2 linked regions of the Drosophila melanogaster genome follow. The protein of the gene in region 2 purifies or fractionates together with the protein of the main gene of each other region. This does not show direct contact. Each region holds a gene or a part of one and is shown on either strand. Other genes may lie near its edges.

What was found.
Region 1: the proteins of Mettl5 (region 2) and Trmt112 purify together in Drosophila melanogaster (affinity purification with western blotting; one study listed by BioGRID). This does not show direct contact.

What each region holds. Positions count from the first base shown.
Region 1 is NT_037436.4:21,215,362-21,218,912, forward strand, and holds Trmt112 (tRNA methyltransferase subunit 11-2), read right to left. Parts: upstream 1,479-3,551; 5' UTR 1,361-1,478; coding exon 1,283-1,360; intron 1,218-1,282; coding exon 1,116-1,217; intron 963-1,115; coding exon 768-962; 3' UTR 634-767; downstream 1-633. Other genes in the region: CG10508 (uncharacterized protein), read left to right, coding at 12-140, 215-422; Ilk (integrin linked kinase), read left to right, coding at 1,703-1,791, 2,206-2,371, 2,430-2,975, 3,038-3,551.
Region 2 is NT_037436.4:19,261,943-19,267,447, reverse strand, and holds Mettl5 (methyltransferase like 5), read right to left. Parts: upstream 3,683-5,505; 5' UTR 3,609-3,682; coding exon of another isoform or gene 3,543-3,608; 5' UTR 3,468-3,542; coding exon of another isoform or gene 3,423-3,467; 5' UTR 3,352-3,422; exon of another isoform or gene 3,264-3,351; intron 3,122-3,263; 5' UTR 2,952-3,121; coding exon of another isoform or gene 2,826-2,951; intron 2,768-2,825; coding exon of another isoform or gene 2,504-2,767; 5' UTR 2,493-2,503; coding exon 2,005-2,492; intron 1,388-2,004; exon of another isoform or gene 1,370-1,387; coding exon of another isoform or gene 1,091-1,369; exon of another isoform or gene 855-1,090; coding exon 701-854; 3' UTR 612-700; downstream 1-611. Other genes in the region: Aldh7A1 (aldehyde dehydrogenase 7 family member A1), read left to right, coding at 1-611; CG45081 (uncharacterized protein), read right to left, coding at 1,091-1,369; CG42374 (uncharacterized protein), read right to left, coding at 2,504-2,767, 2,826-2,951; Max, read left to right, coding at 3,423-3,467, 3,543-3,608, 3,924-4,031, 4,241-4,364, 4,430-4,572; Bet1 (blocked early in transport 1), read right to left, coding at 5,345-5,505. UniProt on the Drosophila melanogaster protein: Catalytic subunit of a heterodimer with Trmt112, which specifically methylates the 6th position of adenine in 18S rRNA.

The sequences.
Region 1 (3,551 bases), 2.0 Mb from region 2:
ATTCTCAACAGACATCGTCAGCACTCCCTTGGAAATTCGCATAATTCGGAATCAGCTGAATTTCAATCTATTATCGAACGAATGGCCAGTTTGGGACCCAATTCCCAGCTAAGCAAGGGTGCAGATGAAAATCTTTTGCTGTAAGTAGTTCAACTTAATGTCGAAGTAATAAAAACAAAGACTCATCTATGAATATAATTAAAATTATTTTCAGAGCCGATTATGTCACCTGGAATGGACCCAACACGAAGCTTCTTCAAAAGCAGATCACTCAAGGACCTAATGCTAGTCTTCTCACAGATCGCACCTATAAGCCAAGGGGTGGGAAATCGGAACTCTGCAAAGGACCCCAGTCCGGATTGGCGAAGGGCAGCATCTACGCCCAAGGCAGCAACAAGAGCGCCAACATCAAATGCAACTAGGCGGGAGTATCTCATCTGGAACCTCCCCCAGAGTGCCAAAGAAGTGAAGATGAATCTTAGTAGCCAAGCACCACCCTCCACATGTTCAGACTTACGATTTATATATGTCGTAGTGTTTTTTGCTCTTATCCTTAAACACCTACCAAATACCACACGAGTACGTAGACTCAACAAAAAAAAAAAAAAAAAAAAAAAAAAACGAAGTCACATTCCATCCAAGCTCCAATTGTTTTTAGTAACTCGTAAATAAACAAACTTTAAAACTAACAAACTTATTTAATATTAATGCGCGTCTGGAGAAAGGGGATTATGGGGATTATGGTACAAAAAGCACATGGGTGTAATCTAGACCTCGTCCTCGTTAAGGAGCATGTTTGGTATACCATCGCTGATGGGAAACACACGACCTGTCTCCGGGCACTCCAGTTGACCCTCGAGCACGTCGATCTCGAAGAGCAGATGGTGAAGCTTCTGCAAAAGCAGTTCATTCTCCACAATGTTTTCAGGCTGAACGGCAGGAATGTCTTCTGTGAGTTCCGCCTAAAAAACAAATTCCAATTATTAACGAATATAAAAAATAACAGGTTTTAATAGTTTAAAACTGATTAAAAATATTTGAAACCAGTAAATTTGAAATCAGTAACACTATTTAGAACCATTCTATGGTTCTTTTAGAACCATTCTATCACTTACCACCTGAGCAGCTCCATAGACCGCTGACCAGTCCAGCTTGGGAAGGATTCTCTCCACAAAAGTTGGATTAAATTCGCTCTCCACCACTTCCTTTTTGTTAATCTAAATGCAAAAACAAATAGACCGTGAAACAATCAATAGCCAGGACTTGGGACACCGGAACTCACCGTCAGTTTCAGGGGAAATCCCACTTTGACGCCCTTGATGGCCACGGAGGTCAAGAAGTTGTATGTGCTGAGTTTCATTTTCGGGCTTGTAATGGTTTAATTAATACAAAGAGATGAGGTAAACAACAATGTTTTTAAATAATAGTTGCGGTGCACGTTGTATTCCTTCTTCTTCTTGCTTTAAACATTCACAATTGGTGTATGTCATCGATACCACGATACACACTTGTCGATGTTTTGCAGCAGTTGGCAACGCGAGCAGTGTGTTAAATATTTAAAACGTCCACACTGCACAAATTTTAATTGGAATTCTCACAACTGTCGCATTTTAAGCGTTTAAATCTGTTTCTAGATGTAAATTAGGTTGGAAAACCTATAATATCAGTGACTGCGAGCGGAATAAAGGAGTGAGGAGTAAAAATGGAGGACATATTCCACTGGTGCCGCGAGGGCAACTCGATTCAAGTGCGCCTCTGGTTGGATGAAACGGAGCACGACAACAATTTGGGGTAAATCCAATAGAGGCAACTAACTCCATCACTTTCTAGTTGCTTTATAGTGCACTTAGAAAGTTAAGCCCTCAAGTAGCAACCCCCTCTACCAGGAACGTTTACTTAGTCATCGCCTAAATACGCCCAAGATTTCGAGGGTCTTTCAAGTCTAAGTGACGTCATGATTTATTCTTGTGTTGTGTAAACAGACGAATCAAATATATAAGTATACGTATGTTCATATTTGCCTGTGTGCATATCGCGAGCATAAAACCCGCTTGCCATGTTTATATTGTTCTTTACTTATAATTAGTCTTATAATCCTTTAAAAAGGACCATACCTAACTCTAAGAGCATAAGTATATAAGGTCTATAATGCTCAAATTCCACCATAATTAAAATAAATAAAACAAATAAATTCGTACACTTTAGAGACGACCATGGCTTCAGCCCGTTGCATTGGGTGGCTAAAGAGGGCCACGCCAAGCTTGTGGAGACTCTGTTGCAGCGCGGTTCGCGTGTGAACGCCACCAATATGGGCGACGACATCCCACTCCATTTAGCGGCAGCTCATGGCCACCGCGACGTGGTCCAGATGGTGAGATAAAACAGAAACCAGCTAGGTAACTTATTTAAGAACTTATCTGCCTCTACAGTTGATAAAAGAGCGCAGCGATGTGAATGCGGTAAACGAGCATGGAAACACCCCCCTGCACTACGCCTGTTTTTGGGGCTATGACATGATCTGCGAGGATCTGCTTAATGCGGGAGCCCAGGTGGGAATCGCAAACAAGGACGGGCACACACCTCTTGAAAAGGCCAAACCCAGTCTGGCCAAGAGGCTTCAGGATCTTGTAGAAAAGAGCGGCAGAGAGGTTAAGGTTATCAGCTTCAAGGAACAAAGCTGGCAGGGATTGAAGACGAGATCCCGGGATGCTACTTTGTCCCGTTTCAAGGGAATCAGTATGGGAGACCTAGACCTGCATACCAAGCTGTCGGTGACGCCATCAGGAGAAACTTGGCGCGGACGCTGGCAAAAGAACGATGTGGTAGCTAAGATCCTGGCCGTGCGTCAGTGCACGCCTCGTATATCGCGAGATTTTAACGAGGAGTTTCCCAAGCTCCGCATCTTTTCGCACCCTAACATTTTGCCTATTATTGGAGCATGCAATTCGCCACCCAATCTGGTGACAATTAGTCAGGTGCGTTGAATTTAAATAACTTCAGAAATGACCGTATAAGGTAACCATTCTATTTTCTTTAGTTTATGCCACGTTCTTCGCTGTTTAGCCTGCTGCATGGAGCAACTGGCGTCGTGGTGGACACCAGCCAGGCGGTAAGCTTTGCCTTGGATGTTGCGAGAGGAATGGCTTTCCTGCACTCGCTGGAGCGCATTATTCCAACATATCACCTGAACAGTCATCACGTGATGATCGACGATGATCTGACGGCGAGAATCAACATGGGCGATGCCAAATTCTCTTTCCAAGAGAAGGGACGCATCTATCAACCGGCTTGGATGTCGCCGGAAACATTGCAGCGCAAGCAGGCGGATCGAAACTGGGAGGCCTGTGACATGTGGAGCTTTGCTATTCTTATTTGGGAGCTGACTACGCGCGAGGTACCCTTCGCCGAGTGGTCGCCCATGGAGTGCGGCATGAAAATTGCGTTGGAAGGTCTGCGGGTCAAGATTCCGCCAGGCACATCGACGCACATGGCCAAGCTGATTTCAATCTGCATGAACGAGGATCCCGGCAAGCGGCCCAAGTTCGACATGG
Region 2 (5,505 bases):
AGCTGCACGATCAGTTCGTAAAGGAGCTGGTTGGTAAATATAAGCAGCTAATTTCCAAGATTGGACACCAGCTCGAAGCTCAAACTCTGGTGGGTCCCGTGCACACGCAACAAAACGTGGAGAACTACAAGGCGGCCATCGCGGAAGCGAAATCCTTAGGAGGAACGGTGGCCTTCGGAGGTAATGTCATCCAGCGGGATGGTTTTTACGTAGAGCCCACAGTGATCACTGGATTGCCGCACGATGCCAGCGTTGTCCATCGCGAAACCTTTGCACCAATTGTGTACATCCTCAAAGCCAAAAACGTGGACCAGGCCATCGAATGGAACAATGAGGTGGAACAGGGCTTATCCTCTGCCATTTTCACGGAGAACATCGGGCAGGCGTTCAAGTGGATTGGAGCCAAGGGTTCCGATTGCGGTATAGTTAACATCAACACCACCACCAACGGCGCCGAGATTGGTGGAGCTTTCGGAGGCGAAAAAGCCACTGGAGGAGGTCGCGAGTCCGGATCCGATGCCTGGAAGCAGTATTGCAAGCGGGCCACCATTACAGTCAATCACTCCGGAGAATTGGCCTGCGCCCAGGGTGTTGTCTTCAATGTGGAGTAGAAAACACATACGATCAATTTTAATGTGCTACAATTTACAATACTATTACATATAATGTCCAAAACTAAATGCAACTGATATAATTCTTCCTATTCCGTGCCGATTTCAAAGCGCCAGAAGTCCACCTCAATATCCTTCGACTTCTGCTTGTGAAACTTGTAGCTGGCGTCGATGTTGTACCGGAGTTCGGCGACCACTGAGCCGCGGGCGCCCCATTCCAGTGCCTTTTTCTGAATGTACGACCTGCGAACAATTAAAATCGATATTTAAATTGGCTTTGATGTACTATTCCACAGTTGTTTAGGCTTGGCTATTCTTCCATAAAAAACAGGAAGGGGTCGAATAATAAGATACCCTTTTAATTAAAGAACTCATCGTTTTAATATGAGTAGCATATATATTTTAAAATATTTAATTTCCATAATTTCTCACTAAAATCTAAACTATTGATGGAACGTGCTGCATCTTATCCACATACTTTATGTGTAAAGCAGCTGCAGGCAGTTGGGACCGCTGCGGCAGCAACCACCCCCGCAGACAGGAACCACTGCATCTCTGGGAATGCGGCGGCAAAGGCTGGGCGGACCGCGGTAGTCTCTTCGGAAGCACAGTCTCTCGCACACTGTCCCGCCAGCGGACACTCGAATGGGGGTGAGACGGCATTGGCCGCTGCCCAGGATTTGCGCATCAGTGGGCATGGGGGCCAGAAGAATCGCCAGCACCACAGTGATGATTAGAAGGCTACGTGAGAGGATCATCTTGCTGCTGACTTCTAGTTGCTATCTGTAACTTGTTGGTGTTTCTGCGGCGTTTTATAGTTGTGAGCAGCGCTCTTAACAAAACAACAACAAAAGCAGAAACAGCGGTAAGGAAGCACATTTACCGAAAAGCGGGTACAATTGTATCTCTTGTTTACTGTGCCAATAACAAAAGATTGCGCATCTGTTTATACCAGCAGATATTCTTAAAGTATAAATCTGCATATGTACATTCATATGCCGAATATTGAGTATCAATATATTTTAAAATATATACCTATATATAGACCAGTAAGCATACTACTTGAGTATCTGTTTAACCAAGAGATCTACACTATTAAACAAGAGAGAATGGTATAACCAAGATTTCGAATATCAGATACGCCGCTCATCTAGAGGGATTGCTAGAGAGGAATTCCAAATTTTGTTTAGATATGGATAGAAATTGTAAAGGAAATAAGATAAGTTATATCAAAAGATTTTTTCAAAACGTTGGTTATACACGGCTGGTAATCCTAATTAAAAATATACTTTGTAAAGCGGAAATCGCTTCCCTCTACCTGTTACATTCTTTGCAAGAAAACTTAAGTTTTCCTCTACGAATATCGATTATAATCAATTTTATACAGACTTACCGTGTTGACGTCTTGTGTAGGGAGTAAACTGCTCTGTTGGCCAACCGTAGGGCCACCTCCAGAAACCGCATGTCCATGCCGGCATTGTGTTTCGTGCCGAATGGGGGATTCATCAGCACCGTGTCAAAGGACTTCTCCCACTTGCTGCCGATCAGCTGCAGCACATCCGCCCGCACGCAGTCAACATTGGGTAGCTCCATCTCCACCACATTGCCCCTAAAGGTGTCCACGGCATCGCCGTCCAGTTCGAAGCCCACCGTGAGCTGGGCGCCCAGCAGAGTGGAAGCAATGCTGAGCATTCCGCAGCCGCAGCCCAAATCTCCCACCAGCTTTCCCTCGATGTCCTCGTGCTGCGACTGCATGTGATGAGCCATGCACGCGGCTATGTGCGGCGGAGTGGGGTACTGTTCCAACAGGATCTTGGGCTGCTCGAAACCGTCAACGCCCTGCAGGTACTCCTCCAGTTTCCTCAGCTTCAACCGGGCCATTGTGGATCCGGCTATTTGCTGATACTGTGGCTGGGCGGAGCGTTCGGAGTAGTGGGCGTGGTCGCAGGCGACGGCAGCGGCTCCAGACGAGGCAGCACGGGTATAAAGCTATTTCCAAAATACGAATCCTGAGGTATAAAGAAGCCCAAAGTCGTAGAGCTCGTTGGATTAAATGCAGAGCGGGCGGTGGATGTGGCATTGGTGGCAATGCCCACGCCCGCCTGGAAGTCTGGATTCACTGTCGTCGGCTGTCCCAGCAACTGGGGTGCGGGCATCTACGATAGAAGACCAGGTAAACACATTTTCCGATCGGCATGTTCCCAACGAACTCACCTGGTTCGGCGGACTCAGACCAAGGTTTATGATCCCGCCCGCGAGCAACTGCTTCTTCGTCTGGATCTCTTCGAGTATCTTGCGGTTCGTCTCGGCTTGCTGGGCACTTGTGGTGGGAAAAGCCATCAAATAAACTAGTAAAAGTCTGAACTATATCAAAAACTTCTTGTAGACTGCTGCTCCTGCCGCTGCCTTTGGCATTTTGCGAGCAGTGTGGTCACACTGGCGAGTACTGTAGTGTGGCGGAAATAGTAGCGGTATTCGAACTGAACCAAATGTGCGAATAAACAAAAAATCTGCAACAAACAAGAGTGTTAAGCGAATATTGAATTTGTGCTTAATATATATATAATTTGTATTTAATACAAATCAAATATTAATAATATTGGTGACCTTTTGGTGCCACTTAAGTTTGAAGTATTATTAGCATTCCTCTATTTGGTCACTCTGCAAGTCTTACAACGTGAGCAGACAACAACAAAATTACATGTTTATTTGGAATAATCACAAAAAACAAAAAACTTACCAACTTAGTGGAATAATCTTAGGAAATATCTATTAATTTGCGCGCAATCCGTGCAAAACAAGTGAAGCAACATGAGTATGAGCGACGACGACCGCGACATAGACATCGAAAGTGACGTAAGCAAGGCGTAGAGGAAAATACTGATACGTGTGTTTAATATTGATTTTAATGCCAAATTAACGACTTTTTAGGAGGACGGGGACTCGGACACTGGCTTGGGATCCTCGCGACACACAAACACCGCCAATTTCACCCAGGTGACTATCCATCATGCATAAACTGAGTGGGAAAAAGCGACTGCGCACATTGCCTTTTGTTGATAAACAGAACGCACACGTGTTGTTGTTGCTGTTACAGAATCGTGATTACGATACAGCAGAGTTCACAGCAATAGGATTCGTAATCGAAAATAATCTTAGAGGGACTGAATATATTATATATTACTATTTACTAACTTATCTTTCTGTTCATATTGCTTTGAGACCATTTTGTTCCATTTTTGTTATTATTTCCATACTCTGCTGTATTTACGATGGAATTTCCTATATGCTAATTTTAATGTTTGTTTCAAGGCCGAAAAGCGGGCGCACCACAACGCTTTGGAGCGAAGGCGGCGCGATCACATCAAGGAGAGCTTCACCAACCTGCGTGAGGCGGTGCCCACACTCAAGGGCGAAAAGGTAATCCAGAAGAGCAACAGGTGACACAGCCGGGCTCATTTTCTGCCAAGAAAATCCCATAAGTCCATACCAGTTCGTTTTACAATAAACTACATTATTGCTTGTCAAATTAAGCAAATCGCATAAAATATATTAAAAAAATCCACACCCTGTGTGATGAAGCTAATAAGAAGTAGTAATAAGTTAATAATACATATCTTTTGTTACAGGCGAGTCGAGCTCAAATCCTGAAAAAGACCACCGAATGCATACAGACGATGAGGCGGAAGATCAGTGAAAACCAGAAAGACATCGAAGAGATCAAGAGGCAAAACAACATAATAGCTAAGCAGAGTGAGCAACTAACTACTACAGGTTATTAATGAACTTCCTGCTAAGATACTTTATATACTTTCCAGTACAAGCACTGGAGAGTTCAAATGGGGATCAGTTCAGCGAATTTCTCAGCGACGAGGAAGTGGGCAGCGAGGAGGCCGACGACGAAGACCTCGACCAGGACTTCAGTAGACGCAATAAAAAGATGAAGACCTTCCACGCATAGCCGCTGATCCAATCCAAAGTGCTGCTTACAGGCGTGTTCCGGCTTCCGTTTTCACCGACATTCTGAATTCTTACGTGGATTTAGTTCAACTTTGAGTTGTGTTATACGAAAGCAATAGCCCTCGAAAAGTTGTGAAGGAAACGGTTCCAAATTCGAATTAAAGTGAAAATTAAAATTATGTGGAAATGAGAACAGTAACAAGTCCGATAATCATAATCATCATTAGCTGTAAGCCCAAAATGTAACCCACCCAATCGACCTTAATTTGTATGCGTGCGTCTTTTCTACTTTCAACAAATTGTCACTCTGTGCGCAAAGAATAAAGTAAACTAGTAAGTACATATTTTTAGAAAAAAACAGGGGCTTCTTGTTGATGAATTCTATTATGGAAATTGGAAAATATAACGGACCAATTGAGTAACATGAGTGCTGCTTTTGAAGAAGTTTATAAATGATAAAAGGATTGACATTTTATGCGATTAGGGCTAAATAAAATCAGCAATTTTTGCAAGTAATTTGATCACTTGATACTGGAACCTTCCCTTATTTATATCTGGAATCTCCTTTTGCTTATTACTCGAGAACTATAAAGAACGAGCTGAAAAAACTTTAACGTACGTATCTGTCTTTCTAATATTGGTTTGAACTTAAGAAATATATTTAACTTTATGGTTTTAAGCCAAAAGTGAACCGCATTCCGAACCAAATACAACCTTCGACTACACTAAACCATACAAATATGTGGGTATATATTTTATAAAATTACCAACAACTACTTAAACTTTAGGGTTATCCAGAGGATTAAGAACACGACGAGGATGAAGAGGAACATGTAGCACATTTGGCGAGCACCACCGCCCTGTTTGGCCAGTCGCACCACCCGCGTCATCGCGTTGCCCAGAAATCCACTCGTCCGGTCCATGTCGTCGTCGA